5 linked regions of the Macaca fascicularis genome follow. The protein of the gene in region 5 purifies or fractionates together with the protein of the main gene of each other region. This does not show direct contact. Links are inferred from orthologs where the notes say so. Each region holds a gene or a part of one and is shown on either strand. Other genes may lie near its edges.

The links.
Region 1: the proteins of LGALS3 (region 5) and SLC12A7 purify together in Homo sapiens (affinity purification with mass spectrometry; 3 studies listed by BioGRID and IntAct, counting the BioPlex papers as one, with this or other methods). This does not show direct contact. The link is inferred for Macaca fascicularis from reciprocal best matches to the Homo sapiens genes LGALS3 and SLC12A7.
Region 2: the proteins of LGALS3 (region 5) and SLC15A4 purify together in Homo sapiens (affinity purification with mass spectrometry; 3 studies listed by BioGRID and IntAct, counting the BioPlex papers as one, with this or other methods). This does not show direct contact. The link is inferred for Macaca fascicularis from reciprocal best matches to the Homo sapiens genes LGALS3 and SLC15A4.
Region 3: the proteins of LGALS3 (region 5) and SLC12A2 purify together in Homo sapiens (affinity purification with mass spectrometry; 3 studies listed by BioGRID and IntAct, counting the BioPlex papers as one, with this or other methods). This does not show direct contact. The link is inferred for Macaca fascicularis from reciprocal best matches to the Homo sapiens genes LGALS3 and SLC12A2.
Region 4: the proteins of LGALS3 (region 5) and ECE1 purify together in Homo sapiens (affinity purification with mass spectrometry; 3 studies listed by BioGRID and IntAct, counting the BioPlex papers as one, with this or other methods). This does not show direct contact. The link is inferred for Macaca fascicularis from reciprocal best matches to the Homo sapiens genes LGALS3 and ECE1.

What each region holds. Positions count from the first base shown.
Region 1 is NC_088380.1:1,436,538-1,440,037, forward strand, and holds part of SLC12A7 (solute carrier family 12 member 7), read right to left. Parts: intron 2,522-3,500; coding exon 2,375-2,521; intron 1,825-2,374; coding exon 1,770-1,824; intron 353-1,769; coding exon 222-352; intron 1-221. UniProt on the Homo sapiens protein: Mediates electroneutral potassium-chloride cotransport when activated by cell swelling. May mediate K(+) uptake into Deiters' cells in the cochlea and contribute to K(+) recycling in the inner ear.
Region 2 is NC_088385.1:135,938,457-135,941,956, forward strand, and holds part of SLC15A4 (solute carrier family 15 member 4), read right to left. Parts: intron 2,728-3,500; coding exon 2,559-2,727; intron 2,087-2,558; coding exon 2,009-2,086; intron 1,577-2,008; coding exon 1,408-1,576; intron 1-1,407. UniProt on the Homo sapiens protein: Proton-coupled amino-acid transporter that mediates the transmembrane transport of L-histidine and some di- and tripeptides from inside the lysosome to the cytosol, and plays a key role in innate immune response.
Region 3 is NC_088380.1:134,769,182-134,772,681, forward strand, and holds part of SLC12A2 (solute carrier family 12 member 2), read left to right. Parts: intron 1-589; coding exon 590-725; intron 726-1,001; coding exon 1,002-1,069; intron 1,070-2,676; coding exon 2,677-2,812; 3' UTR 2,813-3,500. UniProt on the Homo sapiens protein: Cation-chloride cotransporter which mediates the electroneutral transport of chloride, potassium and/or sodium ions across the membrane. Plays a vital role in the regulation of ionic balance and cell volume.
Region 4 is NC_088375.1:213,841,341-213,843,504, reverse strand, and holds part of ECE1 (endothelin-converting enzyme 1), read right to left. Parts: intron 1,279-2,164; coding exon 1,102-1,278; 3' UTR 1-1,101. UniProt on the Homo sapiens protein: Converts big endothelin-1 to endothelin-1.
Region 5 is NC_088381.1:122,996,909-123,000,408, forward strand, and holds part of LGALS3 (galectin-3), read left to right. Parts: intron 1-1,806; 5' UTR 1,807-1,810; coding exon 1,811-1,828; intron 1,829-2,482; coding exon 2,483-2,800; intron 2,801-3,500. UniProt on the Homo sapiens protein: Galactose-specific lectin which binds IgE. May mediate with the alpha-3, beta-1 integrin the stimulation by CSPG4 of endothelial cells migration.

The sequences.
Region 1 (3,500 bases), on a different chromosome or scaffold from region 5:
GCACCCCTCGCGGAGGGCGGCAATGGAGCTCACAGGGGACCCAGGTCACTGCGGAGTGGACGCTGCCGACGGCTTCCGCCAGGGAGAGCCCAGGGGCAGTCAGGGCAGTGGGGTCGGGAGGGCTCCGTGTGCTGTGTGTGCCACAGAGTGGGTCAGGCAGGGCCCCTTGGCGTCCTGCCGCAGACTGTGGGGTGGGGAACGCTCCAAAGCAGCATGCTCACCAGAAGGATCTCGATGGTCCCCAGAATATACATGGCCCCTGCGAACGTCGTGCCCAGGTAAAAGCAGAGGCCGACAGCGCCTCCGAACTCGGGTCCCAGTGAGCGCGATATCATGTAGTAGGAGCCGCCAGCTGTGGAGACACAGGCGGCGGCCGCGGGTCAGGGGCGTGCTTGGACGCAGACTTGAGGTGCGGTCTGCGCTGTCGCTCGTGAGTGAAGGAAGGCCTGTCTCTGCGAAGGCAGCGTGTTCGCCCACCGCAAAGCAGCACATGAAGACGTCCGGCTGCCACGGTAAACGCTCCCCTCCCGAGGCTCGGCACACATTCCACACCGACCGTGCCCTCGTGGACATGAGGACCAGGTGAGGTCGGGGCAGGAGGCCCCAGCACGTCCGGGAAAAAGGCCTGCGTACATCAATGGCAGCCCCAGCCCCCACTTCCACTACGTTTTGCTTATAAAAAAGGCAAAAGAGAAACCAGGATGTTCAGGAGTTCTCTGGTAGACTGTGAACCACGCATGCGATGGCTGACGGGAAAGCTGGGAGCGACCCCAGGGTTGCCTGGAGAACGCGGCTCTCCCTGCTCTGAGCAGTGCATGTGGCCATGAGGAAGGGGCCCTAACGGATGCAGTCATCGAGAAGCAGAGACTGGTCCCCTGGCTGCTGAGGGAGACCCCCAGTGAGGGCCCTCGTGCTCTCCTGCGGCCGGGGAAGTCCACTGAGCACCACGCAATGCCCCTGTGGGGGTGGGGGCCAGCTGCGTGAGGACCTGGTGCTGAGCAAGCCCGGCCGTTAACACACGCAGGACACGTGCACTAGGGAGCAGACGTGGCATCATCTCAGTTCACTAGTTATTTCGTGTTGCAATTTATTACTAATTAACAATATCATCTCGGTTCACCAGTTATTATGTATTGCAATTAATTTATTACTAATTAACATCATCTCAGTTCACTAGCTATTTACGTAATTACTAATTAACAGTATCATCTCAGCTCACTAGTTATTACGTACTATAATTAACTTAATGCTAATTATCATCTCAGTTCACTAGTTATTACGTATTGTAATTAATTTATTGCTGATGAACATCATCTCAGTTCACTAGTTATTACGTATTGTAATTAATTTATTACTAATTAACATCTCAGTTCACTAGTTATTACATATTGTAATTAATTTATTAGTAATTAACAAGGTCAGGGCAGCGTTTTGTCTTCACCTTCCCTCGTGAGATACAGGTTCCAAGAACTCAGCCTATGGCACATGCCAGGCTACAGGCATCACTGGAATCGCCCATGCCTCCCCCTCCCAAGCCCGCTGCCCGGTGGGCACTGCCTACCCTGGCAAGAGACGGTCACCATGCAGCAAAATGGGGAAGAAAACCAAACAGCCGTGACCTCACGGCTCAAACGCCAGAGGAGCCAGTGGAGAACACGCAGAAGGCCTGGCAGTGACCCCCAGGCAGCCCCTGGCCCTGCCTCGCGGAGCGGCCTCCTCCCAGTTACCAAACACACAGACTCCTCTAACAGGACTCAGGCACCCCTTACCTGGCACCACGCCGTTGGTAGCGATCGCACTCATGGAAATGGCGGTCAGCATTGTCTGCAGAAAGACAGGCGGCCATCTGAGGAGAGCTTTCCAAGAGCCTGCCGGCATCGCAACACTCCCAAGGCGCGGTCTATGGCCTGGCTCCCGCCGAAAGTCAGCCCCCGGCTCCAGGGCTCTCCATCTCAATGCAGTGGCTGGGAAACTAGGACCCGGAGGCTCCCGGGCACCAGGCATGCAGTGTCCTGGTTCCCACCCCTTTCCCTATGACAAGGACACCTGAAAGTACCCAAGGTCCTTCCAAACTGGAGGTGATGTCGTCAAAACACAGGGTGTCCCTTCCCTTGGAAGCCTCAGCCCCCTGAGGCCACCCCACAACACCCACCACCGGCCGAGATGCCTTTCCGCAGACACGGGTAAATGAGGTGCCAGCGCCAATCAACACGCCAGCGCGAACCCCGGCCAGTGTGGTGTCTCATCCCCGCAGCTGCCCCGGCTCTCGTGGAGGGGACGGCGCTGAACAACCTCTACACGGGTGTCTGGGGAGGGCCCTACTGTCCGGCTGCCCCCGCCTGAAGGCACAGCCACACTGGCCGGGGAGACTCACGCAGGTGCAGCACATGGCCACGATGAGGAAGGACTCCAGGACACCAGCCACCCCCACGATCCACGTCAGGCGCAGGAAGAGGATGACGCCCAGGATGTTCTGCAGGCACGGCAGGTAGACGCCAATGAAGGTGCCCATGCGCGGAGCCTGCGACGGAACACAGCGTGTGCCGGGGGCTCGGACCCCACACCCGAAGGCAGCCCCCTCCCCAGGCTGCACTCAGGCCCTGGGCAGGCAAAGCGGCCGTGGGGGCAGGAAGGGGCAGAAGGGGACTGGAGGGGACAGGAGTCCGTCCCGGAACAGACGGAGGCTCAGAGAGAGGCCCAGGGTGGGATCCTGACCATCCCGGGGGCGGGGGCTTAGGGGAGGGGAGCAGAACCACATGGTTGGCAGAGAACCAAGATGCAGTTGCTCTGCTGTGCCTCCCCGACGGAGGGGAACCTGTTACACTGGAAAAGTTATGGGAAAAACTAGAGGGAGAACAGGAGGGCCCCCAGCTCCATTCCCTGGATGGCTCAGGGCCTCAGACCTGACACCCGGGGAGAGCCTGAGACTTCAGGAATGGAAGCAGAGCCGGCGGAAGGAAGAAACGGCTGCTGCCCATAAAGCTAAAAAAAATAAAATTAAATTAAAAAAAATAAAATCCACAGCTCAGCATTGGCCCAGGTCACCACAATATAACAGCAAAGGTTCAGATATCCACCCTGGGGCCACCCCGCCTGCCCCAGGATGGAGCAGGCAGCCCGCTTCAGACACCTGTGCCAGAGAGGGGGACACACCCCGTGGCCCTGAAGAAACCCGCACGGGCAAGGACCAGCAGCACAGCCAGAAGCAGGTCAGTGGCTGCGAGGCAGCCCCCTAGCCCCGCTCGGGACCGGCCAGGCTGGGGCAGAAGTTTCAGCTCTGTCCCCATTGCCTGCTCAGCCCCACTCCCGCCATGAGCAGGGGCACATGGCTCGGACCTGGAGGACGGCTGGCCCCAGCACAAGGTGACGTTTTAACAGGAAAACATCTCAAGGTCAATGTAGAAAACGGGGAAGGTTTTCTTTGAAGACATTTCCTGTGAACAACGGCCACAGTGCAGATCAGAACAGGCTCCGTGAGGAGGCTGAGGAGGGGGTTCGAT
Region 2 (3,500 bases), on a different chromosome or scaffold from region 5:
ACCAAGTATTTACTGGAAAAGCCTCCAGAAACCAAGGAGATCTCCTTTCCCACAGGGAGGGAATGAGGACTTCCTTCCTTGGCATCAACCAGTGTGGTGATGGGGCACAGAGAAGGCACTCTAGCCCCAGGGGGAGAGAGAGGTCTGAGGCCAAAGCTGAGCCTGCGCTTTAGGGAGGTAGGACAGACAGGCAGACACAGCCTCCAGTGCAAAGACTTCCTGCAGACAGCCCTTCTGCGTGTGCACTCTGCTGAACTGCAGCCTGCAGCTAGAGCCCTGCGGTAATTCAGTTCTTCTCTGCCTATGCTTATTTCCCCATGTGCCACAGCTCTGGAAGAGAAGCTGAATTATAAAGAAGGCACACAGCAAAAACTTCACTCAGACACGACCTCACTTTAATTATCTATTTGAACAAAAGAAAATGCAATAGTCTTCTAAAATGTCCCAGTCTCTAGAATAGAGATTTCTTAAGCCCAGGGACTAATTTCTTTAAATCTATTAAGTACTATATCAATATGTTCAGTCTGGCAAAAGTAGATGAAGGCTGCTATGAAGGCAGCATTGTTTGAGAATATTAAATTCCATTTCAGCAGCGCTTAACACTGAATTCCTCATAACAGCAGATAATATACAGCTGGTTCAAGAATATCAACTTTTCTTATTATGTAACTAAGCTGTTTTATCATTCAACAATTTTCAAATATTAATGAAGGGAGAACTCCAAAATAACTGAGAAAGTCAGCGATACCCAGCTTTATCAGCAAAGGATAAACAACTCATTTCAGCACATACAAATTACGAAAACAGAATGGAAACCCTCAAAAGGATAACTCTCCTCGTCTGAGTTTAGAGACTTAGGCATTCGTTCTTATGAGGTTTATTTGTAGGGGGAGGAGATGCTGCCCATGAGCCTATAACAATCTAGAAACATTTTTGTCACCAGAAAAATGCACACAGAATTTTACATAAAAAATTCAAAGGACTCACAGACACCCTGACACTTGTTAATAAACCAAAGGTTAGTAATCTGAAGGTGGAATTCTCATCCTCGAGAATGATATAGTACCTTTAATTTACACGAATTCATCTGTTCAGCATTCAACAGCCTAATTCTAAACCAGAAGGTAGAGAAAAACCTCCCTTTAACTCAGTCCAAAAGTCCCTTTTCAGAGCAACCCAATGGTTTTAGTACCAGAAGAAAACTGACATATCCTTAGGAAAATAATCTTCAACTTATTTTAAAGTTTAAAACAAAGGATTAGTGCTGTAAAATAACTGATACACATCCTCTTTCACAGACACGCACTTCCTGAACAACCTGGGGCATGACAGGGCGTCAACACTCTATTCTGAATCCACAACTGCCGAAGTGGGGCCTGAGGAGGAACGGAGCAGAATGCCTCCTACCTGCAGCAAAGGCCGAGCACATGACAAAGAACATGCCCACGGCGATCCTCTTCAGGGAGGATGGGAGCAGGCCATTTCTTCTCAAAATGGGATCCACCAGTTTGTCCTTCACAGGGATGAGCAGCAGGATGAGCACAGCATCAAACATGGTCAGCCAGGCTGCAGGGAGCTGGGGTGAAACACGGGAGGAGGCGTTTACTCCCCGCAATACACCACCCGTCTGGAGAACCAACATCTCAATGGGAGAAATGCATGTAAAGAACAGCTCCTCTCCACAAGGTACAACCTCTTCAGTTTAGAGACAACGGAACTGGGAAAAGCTTCCTTTCTAAATGAATCTGCATTTGCTTTTCTGTGCTTTGAGGGGAAAATAATCAGGTGAAAAATACTAAGTAACGCTGAACTGATGTCAGTCAACCTAATCTAGTAAATGATACAACCAACAAAAAATATTCTCTAAAATAAGTAAAAACTCTATTTCAATAACAAAGGTTTTTGTTGGTGCTGTTAACATTTATAAAACATTTACAGTTGGTAGAAGGAATCCATTTATTACATAAGCCCAAAATGACAATTTTGAGATCATTACAATTGTTCTTACCGTGTGAGGAGTGGTTGTAATATTTGAAATTTCTGGAATCCTCAAATGAAGACTCTGTAAAACATACGTTGTCTGCATCTAGGTATAAAAAACAGTATCATTATATGTGAACCAACTGTGCCCTCAAACACTCTAAGCATCCTGCCCCTCCCCTAAACTAGGCTCTGAGATGCGACAGTAGTGACTCCCAGAAACAGACAACGGCTCAAGTTTGAAAACAGACAGGTCAATGATTTGGTCACTGTAAAGTCCTCTGGAGATCAATTTTGAAAAAGAACAGCCAGTTATCCAAAGGAGAAATTACATTAACAAGAGGGGCCTGGAAAAACCAGAAGCATACCTGTTCTCAGCTTCTTTTTCAGAGAGGCTTTAAACATAGTTAAAGCAGCCAAAATGACTCCATAACTAAAACCAAAAATGCCAGGATTCTGTAGACTCATGGAAAAAAAAAATAATCTAGTCCTAACTACTTTAAACATGGCCAAAACAAGTGCTAGGCTAAGACTTCATAGGAAGATAAAGGAAATTAAACCTGTTTGTCACCACTCACTTGGAAATACACTGTCCAGTAAGGTATCAAAGCCAAGAAAACAGGGACAATCTTGACCAGAGCTTTCACATCTTCCACTTTCTCTTCTGTAAATGGCCCTCCATGAGACATCTTACATGAATCAAACAGACTTTGTTTAGAAGATTGCTGAAAGACTCCAATGCCTTCACTTTGGGAAATAAAATGAAGGAATTAGTTTTCTTCCCCTCCCAGCAATCAATTATTTGGTCACAAATTAAGTTTGGAGGTAAGAAACCAGCTCACTGTATCGAATCTGCTTCAACTCATTCCATCACTTACTAATTGCACACACCCAACACAGCTTCCTGAATTATTTCTAAATGTCACAGAATGTACTGAAACAGCTGACAAAGGGACTTTCTAGTCAAAGTGCAATTGGGCTCCTGTAACTCTAGCGTGGCTGGAAGATCTGTGATGACAGTCTGAACCATGGCTGAGCTCAGCCCCAGTGCAGCTGCCGGCTCAGCAGTCTCCGCGTGGGGAGAGTCTGCAGCTCCACCGACACTGGGAAGGACATCAGCTACGCCACTGGATAGCATATGAAAAAATGCACTGGATTGTGTGAATTTGTAATCAGCTAATTTATCAAACATCAAGACCTGACGGCCAATACCAATGCTATGAATAAAACCCTGCTGGTTTAAACTGAGTCACTGGCAGGACAGAGGCAGGGTTCTATTCTCGGAGGAAAGCTGTCAGCTCTTGGGTTAGGGAAGAGCTGAGGGGGAGGGCAGTGCCGGTGGTGATGACAGGAGGATGTCCCTGGCTCTGTCCTAGGACAGCAGGAAATGGGGAGTGCCCAGTGCACTGCGTCCCTATGTCCTCCCTCATTAACCATGTGGTGTTAAAACTCTTCAGGGCCCCACTGCACAGAGCAAGATGCCTGGGCACAGAGAGCGAGAAGGCTGCCCGAGGTATGGC
Region 3 (3,500 bases), on a different chromosome or scaffold from region 5:
AATTTTGACTTATTGCTCAAAGGGATCATTTTGGCTACTATGGTAAAATATATTTAGGTTGAGAGAAAATGGCCATAAGGGGAGGAGGGGTAGATACAGGGAGGTCAGCTTTAGCAGTTAAAAATGCAATTTTATTACAGGTTGGAGATTCCTTATCCCAAATGCTTGGGGTCAACCAAAAGTGTTTCAGATTTCAGATTTTTTTTTTTTAATTTTGAAACATTTTCATTATACATGCTGGTTTAGAATCCCTAATCCAAAAATCAGAAATTCAAAATGTTTCACTGAGCATTTCCATTAGACATCATATTGGTGCTTAGAAAGTTTTAGATTTTGAAGCAGTTTGGATTTCAGATTAGGGATGCACAATCTGTATTGTCCATATGGGTTCTAATTTTCTCATCAGTTTGAGAGACTAGAAATTGCTGTTTTTGAAATAAATTGCCACAGTGATTATTATGGTTGGGGTATGGAGAGGAGCATAATAAATGAGAGGCACTAACTTTGCAAGTTATAGTTTAATATTTAAGATCTTTCTGTTATGTAACTTAAAATAAGATTAGTTGTGAGAATTCTTTGTTTTTTAAAGTATTATAGCTTTTGAGGAAATGATTGAGCCATACAGACTTCATGAAGATGATAAAGAGCAAGATATTGCAGATAAAATGAAAGAAGATGAACCATGGCGAATAACAGATAATGAGCTTGAACTTTATAAGACCAAGGTATTCTTTCACTTCTGCTTTATTTTCATTGATTTTTTATATAATAAAAGACATGAAAACCAAGAACTTCAAATTTGATATAGGAGGGGTCAATTGTATAAATGAACTCTAAAGTAGATTTATTTGAGGTTAGCAGAAAGCATTTAAAAAAAAAAAAAGATTTTTATTACACTAAAATTCATTTCCATTTCTTTTTGTCTCCTTATAGTTTTATGAACCATGCTAAATTCTTATTTCCAAATGGTCTAGGAATGACTTTGTCCTGTTTCATTTCAGACCTACCGGCAGATCAGGTTAAATGAATTATTAAAGGAACATTCAAGCACAGCTAATATTATTGTCATGTAAGTAATATCTTTATAAAGATTTTCTTGCTAATTTCTGATAATATGCTTTGAATTAATTTCTGTTCCAGCCACATATCTATATAACACCCATATTGACTTAGTTGTTGTAAGGAGGAAAAAACAAACTTGTAAAAATATACTATGCTTTAAGCATATGGAGAAAGACTAACCTTAAGCTTATATGAATCCCAAGTAATTTTTTTATCGTAATTGGAACCTTTTGTTTACACTTCTCACCTTTTCAAAATTCCTTATCTTTGTAAACACTATAGCATAGCCATTAAGTATGTGTGGATAGGAGGGTCCTACGTTAAAATTTGGACCCCAGACAGCTTCCTCTTGAAAATAACCCAAAAAATGTTATTTGGCAGATTAAACTTGAATAGTGATTCCTGTCTGGATTCCCATTCTTATGTTTTCCACACACAAATTTTACATACCGACACATTGTCCTTGAGTTAAATACAGATGTAAATGCCTGCTTTGGCTCTTCCTCTACTGAACTAGGCTAGCTAGATATTCTTTGAACCCACATTTTCTCAGTTCTGGAACATGTGTCCTTAGATAGGAAAGCTCAGGCCTCTCCCCCACAAAAAAAGCCAAATAATGAAAAAAACTATCAAAAGATTGTTAGTTTAACAACAAGCATTTAATAAATCAGAAAGTTTCAAGTTTTGCTGATGATAAATACCTGTAATGGAAAAGACACTAAAACGCAGAAATTTAGAGAAAAACTTACAAAGCAGCTGGTCACTGCTACCACCATCCATAAATAGAAATTAAAACTGAGATAAGAAGATAAAAATTGCATTTATCCATATATAGCTTCTGTTTTCTAAATTTGGATAGTAAACATACCTTTCACCTAAAAGAATTCTATTCTTATTAAAGAAGGGGAAATCTAGGGTTTAGTGTTATATCTCAGAGATACTGTGGTTTATAGAAATATTTACTTTTCTTATGAACAAATTCTTAAAAATCTTTGTTGAAAGATTATAGTCTTTTATATACACGTGTACGATGGTGGTACCATAAGATTGTAATACCATATATTAAGCTGGGCACGATGGTGTGCACCTGTAGTCTCAGCTACTTGGGAGACTGAGGTGGGAGGATTGCTTGAGACCTGAAGTTTTGAGTCCAGCCTGGACAATGTATTAAGACCCATCTCTCTTAAAAACAAAAACAAAAAAACCATATTTTTACTGTATCTTTTCTATATTTAGCTATGCAAATGCTTACCATCGTGTTACAGTTGCCTATGGTATTCACTACAGTAACATACTGCACAGGTTTGTAGCCTAGGAGCAAGTGTCATATGGCCTAGATGTGTAGTAGGCTATACTGTCTTGGTTTGTGTAAGTACTCTTATGATGTTTTCATGAGGGCAAAATTGCCTGACAATAATAAGTTCTAAGAAATGAGTCGCTATCGCAAAGCAACACAACTGTGGTTGTTATTCTATATGCAGAATTCTCCTGCACTCAGAAATATTCTGTAATTATAGTAATTTATAGTAACTTATTGTAATCTAATTTATAATTTTTGCTACATTTTATTCTGTCAATGCATTGCTCAGGTTCTTTTTCTCTTTTTGATACCAGGAGTCTCCCAGTTGCACGAAAAGGTGCTGTGTCCAGTGCTCTCTACATGGCATGGTTAGAAGCTCTATCTAAGGACCTACCACCAATCCTCCTAGTTCGTGGGAATCATCAGAGTGTCCTTACCTTCTACTCGTAAATGTTCTATACAGTGGACAGCCCTCCAGAATGGTACTTCAGTGCCTAGTGTAGTAACTGAAATCTTCAATGACACATGAACATCACAATGGCGAATAGTGACTTTTCTTTCATGATTTCATTAATTTGAAAGCACACAGGAAAGTTGCTCCATTGATATGTGTATGGAGACTTCGGTTTTAGTCAATTCCATATCTCAATCTTAATGAATGGTGATTCTTCTCTGTTGAACTGAAGTTTGTGAGAGTAGTTTTCCTTTGCTACTTGAATAGCAATAAAAGTGTGTTAACTTTTTGATTGATGAAAGAAGTACAAAAAGCCTTTAGCCTTGAGGTGCCTTCTGAAATTAACCAAATTTCATCCATATATCCTCTTTTATAAATTTATAGAATGTCAAACTTTGCCTTCAACTGTTGTTTTTATTTCTAGTCTCTTCCACTTTAAAACAAAATGAACACTGCTTGTCTTCTTCCATTGACCATTTAGTGTTGAGTACTGTATGTGTTTTGTTAATTTTATAAAGGTATCTGTTAGATATTAAAGGTGAGAATTAGGGCAGGTTAATGAAAAATGGGGAAGGGGAAATGGTAACCAAAAAGTGACCCCATGGTACGGTTTATATGAGTATATGTTAATACAGAGCTAGGAAAAAAAGCCCCCCAAATGCCTTTTTAACCCCTCTGATTGGC
Region 4 (2,164 bases), on a different chromosome or scaffold from region 5:
TTTTCTCTTTTCTCCTTTCCTGGGGAAGAGGTTGGCCAGACAGACCCTGGTGTGGCTGGGATGGGGGACTGCTGCACAGAGGTAATGGGCCCCTGAGATAGACATGGGACAGCCTGAAAAGGTGGGACCGAGAGGGGACACCTGTGGCCAGCAGTGTATCTCCAATAGAGCCTCACCCTGCAGGGCTCCTGCAGTCTGGCTTCAGGGTGCTTGGTACGCCCAGATGATGTTTGAGGGTCCTGACCTGGCCTCATTCTGCCGTAGCCATCAGTCCCCTGCTGTGGCTTTGGGGATCAGAACTTCCCTGCTAGGGCTCCCACTGTTGGACTCAGGGGACAGAGGCAGGCTAGCTGAAGGGGCAGTGCCCATGAGCTGGGACCTCCCAGAGCCGGCTCCTCCCTCTGCCTGGCCTCCACACCTCTACTGGTCTCCATGCCTCTGCACGAGGTGACAGGAGCTGAAATCACACATCCCAAGAGCCAAGGCAGCTGTCTGATTTGGAGACTTGCTCTGTGGCCCAGGGATCCCTGCCTCAGCCCAGCCCCACAGGGAGTGGGGAAGAGGGATCCCTGCCTCAGCCCAGCCCCACAGGGAGTGGGGAAGAAAGGGGGTAAATCAGTGGGGCTTCCCTTGTCCACAGGTTATTTAGAAAAACAGAACATAATAAATATACCAATTCTTTCCTTAAAAAAAAAAAAGTGTTTAAATGCGTTTTTCCCTGAAGATTTCCAGTGTATTCCACAATGTTTAAAAAATAGTTTCCCCAAAAATATATCTTGAAAGCATTTGACACAGTGGTATTTGTGGCGTATCTGGCGCTTGTCAGCGTGGGGCCCAGGCCTGATGAGCCACCCGCCCGACACCCGAATGCCCGCTGAAGGTGGCGCACGTGTGTGCCTGGATGTCCGGCTCTTCACAGGGGTCAGATGGTGGGTTCTGTTGAGAGCCGACACCATGGGCTCGGTTCCAGCTGAAAGCCCTCCAGTGCGGGGAAGCAGAGCCCCGGGTGGCCAAGCGGGCTGAGCAATGCCCTGGAGGCTGGACGGGGGGCTCGTCCTCAGCCCCTTCCCCTCCTCCGTCTTGGCTCTCTCCGCTTCGTCCTTACCAGACTTCGCATTTGTGAGGCGGGTTCATGGGCGAGCCAGGTGAGCAGTGGAAGTGTTCTGAGAACTCCTTGGAATTGGAGAGGGAGCCGATGACCCGGAAGCGAGAGGGGCTGTGGGGGTCGGTGATGAGGCCTTCATGGGAGCTCTCAGGTGTGCGGACGGAGCACCAGACCTTTGAAGGGACAAGAGAGAGAGGCCAGGGTCACTGTGGGGCCCTGGGGCTGCCAGACTGTCCCCATTATAACAGCAGGGGAGGCCAGGTGCAGTGGCTCACACCTGTAATCCCAGCACTCTGGAAGCCAAGGTGGGAGGGCTGCTTGAGCCCAGGAGTTCATGACCAGCTTGAGCAACATGGCAAGACCCCATCTCTACAAAAAAAAAAAAATTAACCAGGCGTGGTGGTGTGCACTACGGTCCCAGCTCCTGGGAGGCTGAGGCGGGAGGATCACTGGAGCTGGGGAAGTCAAGGCCGCAGTGAGATGAGATTGTGCAACTGCATTCCAGCCTGGGTGACCGAGTGAGATCCTGTCTCAAAAAACAAAATAAGGCTGGGTGTGGTGGCTCATGCCTATAATCCCAGCATTCTGAGAGGCCAAGGAGGGGTGAATCGTTTGAGGCCAGGAATTTGAGACCAGCCTGACAAACATGGTGAAACCCTGGCTGTGCTAGAAATACAAAAATTAGCTGGGTGTGGTGGTGCATCCTATAATCCCAGCTACACGGGAGGATGAGGCAGGAGAATCACTTGAACCCGGGAGGTTGATGTTACAGTGAGCTGAGATCATGCCATCACACTCCAGGCTGGGCAACTGAGGGAAGACTCCGGCTCCAAAAACACAAAACTCAGAAAAACAACACCAGGGGGATGAGCCCCCAAACTGATCCTGAGATCCCGGGGAGTCAGGAGGACCCCCTGAGTGGGTCAGGAAGAGAAAGTGGGCTGGTGTAGGGCTGGTGTGTGCCACTCCCCATGCCAGCAGCCTCTAACGCAGTTGTCTCCAAACTGTTCTCCTTCAGCCAGCGCAGCATCTCTGTCTGAGGCACCCGCATTCGATTCC
Region 5 (3,500 bases):
ATTTTTGTATTTTTCATAGAGACAGGGTTTTGACATATTGTCCAGGCTAGTCTTGAACTCTTGGGCTCAAGCAATCCGCCCACCTTAGCCTCCCAACGTGCTGGGGATTACAGGCATGAGCCACGCCCAGCCAATATCTTGCATTTGAATCAAGTAGTGGACATTTATTGAATCCCTTGGGGCGATGTCATTTCTAAAAGTGATTGAGTAAATATCACAGGTAGGCAATCAAGGATATTCTGGTTGTTTCAAGGTCTATGTAATTCAGGCCATGGCACAGGTGATCCTGAGCTTAGGAAGAACTCACCCATGCCTCAGGGGCCCAACTGCCCTCCTCCCCTCACAGCTGGAGCACCTGCAACAGCTGTGAAGCATCTTGTGCTTTAGGAGCCTTGACATGGGAAGGAACAGGAGAAAGCAGGATTGATGTCTCCAGACCACCCCTTGTGGCAGCTTTGGGCAAGGCAAACCCTCTTTGGTAGCATCTTACACCCAAATATTTTTTTCTTTCACGTTGCCTGAATTTTTTCACCTTAGTTTGTTGTACTGCCAAAGATTTTATTTGGAATAACAAGTACCTTTAAAAAAAGAAAGCACATACAAACTTCAGCTGCCCTTTGAGGCTTAGCTCCAACAGCACTTTTCCTTTCCTTCTTAGAAGTAAGCTTTCTGCGTTTGAATTCCTACAGCACACATTCTAACTCATAGCATTCGTGACTTGTTATTTCACATTTCCATGGATGCATCTCATCTGCCTTGCTGGACTGTGGGCCCTTTGGCTTTTTTTAAAATTCTTAATCTTTATGGGTACATAGCAGGTATATATATTTATGGGCTACATAAAGATGTTTTGACACAGGTATGTAGTGCATGATAATCACATCATGGAAAATGGGGCATTCATATTCTCATTTATTTGTGTTACAAACAATCCAAGTATACTTTTAGTTATTTTCAAATGTACAATGAAATTATTGACTATAGTCACCCTGTTGTGCTGTCAAATATCAGGCCTTATTCATTCATTATAACTATTTTTGTCACCCATTAACTATCCTCACCTCCCTCCCACTCACCCACCCCCAGTACCTTTCCCAGCCTCTGGTAACCATCCTTCTACTCTATACCTCTGTGGGCTCAATCGTTTTGAGTTTTAGATCCCATGGCCCCTTTGACCATGCAGATCATGGCCTATTCATCTTCGCACCTAGACAGGAGCCTGCGCAGTGCCTGACCAAGAGCAGGCATAAGTGTGTGCAAATAGAGGAATAAATAACAGGGCAGCAACTATGTCTGGAGGTCATTGTCTTTCCTGTCTCAGTAGGAATCAATCACTGCTGATCTTCAAAAACCCAGAGGAGGGGATGGGGCAGTTAGTGGGGACAGAGGGCAGATGGGCAAGATGAACACACCAAACCCTTTATAAGGAGTAAGGAAGGAAGGTGAAGAAGAACCAAAAAGAAACCATGACTGTTTACATTTTTCACCTGGAAAAGGGACAGGACCTTTTCTTCCTCCCTGCCTCCTCCTCCCTCATGCATTGTATGGCCTCTTGGTCTCAGGATTCAGAGCACAGGCTAGTGTGATGGAAGTTTAAACTTGTGAGTTATATTTAACTCACAATCTAGCTGGAAAGCATCCCTGCCCCTTGAGGAGATGTTGTGTGGTCCCACACTACTGACTTAGGCATAATGCCTAGAGATTGACTAGAACTGCACAATGAACTAGTGGTGAGGTTCAATTTAATGGAAATCGGTGAAAGCTTTCAGGATCAAATGATAACCTTTGTCTCTTTCTTTCTCTCAGGAAAATGGCAGACAATTTTTCGGTAAGTGTTTTATGCCTGTTTCTTACCCTCGATCAACTCCACATGGTTGAGCGTTGGGGGTTTTGTTTTTACCATGACTTTCCCTTTTCACCCTCCCACTGTGTGGCTTCCCCTAGACTCATTTGTCCAACGAGGGCTTGTGAGCTGGAGCCTTGTTTTCCCAGCAGCAGATTTGGGAAGAAAGCCAGGCAGAGCAAGGCCTGGGACTCACTCACAGTAACCCTTTCACCAAAAGGCCCAGGGCGGAAGGGAGTGGACTCTGCTGGCAGGAGCTGAGAAATCCTCTGAGTAGCGGGAAGCGCGGTACAGTCTGGGCATTCTGATGTTTGTGATTGTTTTTCTCACAGTGATTAAAAAATATGTGCTGTAAATAGAGGAGCGCTAGCTCCTGACTTGGGCTAATTATGAAAATGCAGCCCTCCCTGATTTGAGACCTTGGGAGGCAAGAACAAAGTGAAAAAGCATATGTAACCCCAACGTCTAATTTTAGTCTTAGACACTCAAAACTATTAACAAGTGGAAAAAGTATAATGCTATGCATGTAATGCCTTTGCTATATTCCTCTCCTTCTTAGATCACATATTCCTATTTCCCTGAAAATTCTGCTTTTGAGAATGCTTTCTGTCCTGTAATTGTTTATGTCTTTCTTTACAGCTCCATGATGCCTTATCTGGGTCTGGAAACCCAAACCCTCAAGGATGGCCTGGCCCATGGGGGAACCAGCCTGCTGGGGCAGGGGGCTACCCAGGGGCCTCCTATCCTGGGGCCTACCCCGGGCAGGCACCCCCAGGGGTTTATCCTGGACAGGCACCTCCAGGTGCCTACCCTGGAGCACCTGGAGCTTATTCCGGAGCATCTGGAGTCTACCCAGGGCCACCCAGTGGCGCTGGAGCCTACCCATCTCCTGGACAGCCAAGTGCTCCTGGAGCCTACCCTGCCACTGGCCCCTATGGCGCCCCTGCTGGGCCACTGGTGAGATGGCATTCCTCCTTTCATGTACTTGGCATGCAGAGGGCTTCAGGGAGACCCTGAGCTTTAAACCTGCTGTGACAGCCACTTCTCAAGGGCCAGCCATGGGCATATGTTGGTAGAATCGAAAAATTAAGTGTTCATGTTGAGCTTATTGTGTGTGGTTAGTATAAACAGAAGGTAATGAATATTTTGAAGGCACTGATAAAGCTGCTTATGAATATAAACCAAAATTGTAGTAATGGAGAACATTTTGGTTATTATTAACACTTACTGAGTACATGTCAATAATATGCATCTACCTGGATGATCTAATTTAACCCCATTACCACCCTATACGATACTGTTAATAACCCCATTTCACATGTGGGGAAATGGGGCAATACAGAAGTGATATAATTTGTCCAGGGTCATTGAGCAAACAGGTAGAGGAACCAGGGTAATCTGGTTTTGAAAAACCTTCTAAAGATAATTTTGTGATCTAAGGGTTGAATTTTCATGCAAATTAAAATATGTCTTAGCAAGTGAATTCTAAATGTAAAACATAACTCTGTGGGGGATCCAGATACATCTCAGCCACAGGATCCTTCCTTTCCAGATTTATAGTCTAGTTAGATGATAAAACATATAATAAATATGAGGAAAGAGCTAAGTACCAGTGTGGGATTAGACCATTTCAGAACTATGCAGAAGATGGCACAAG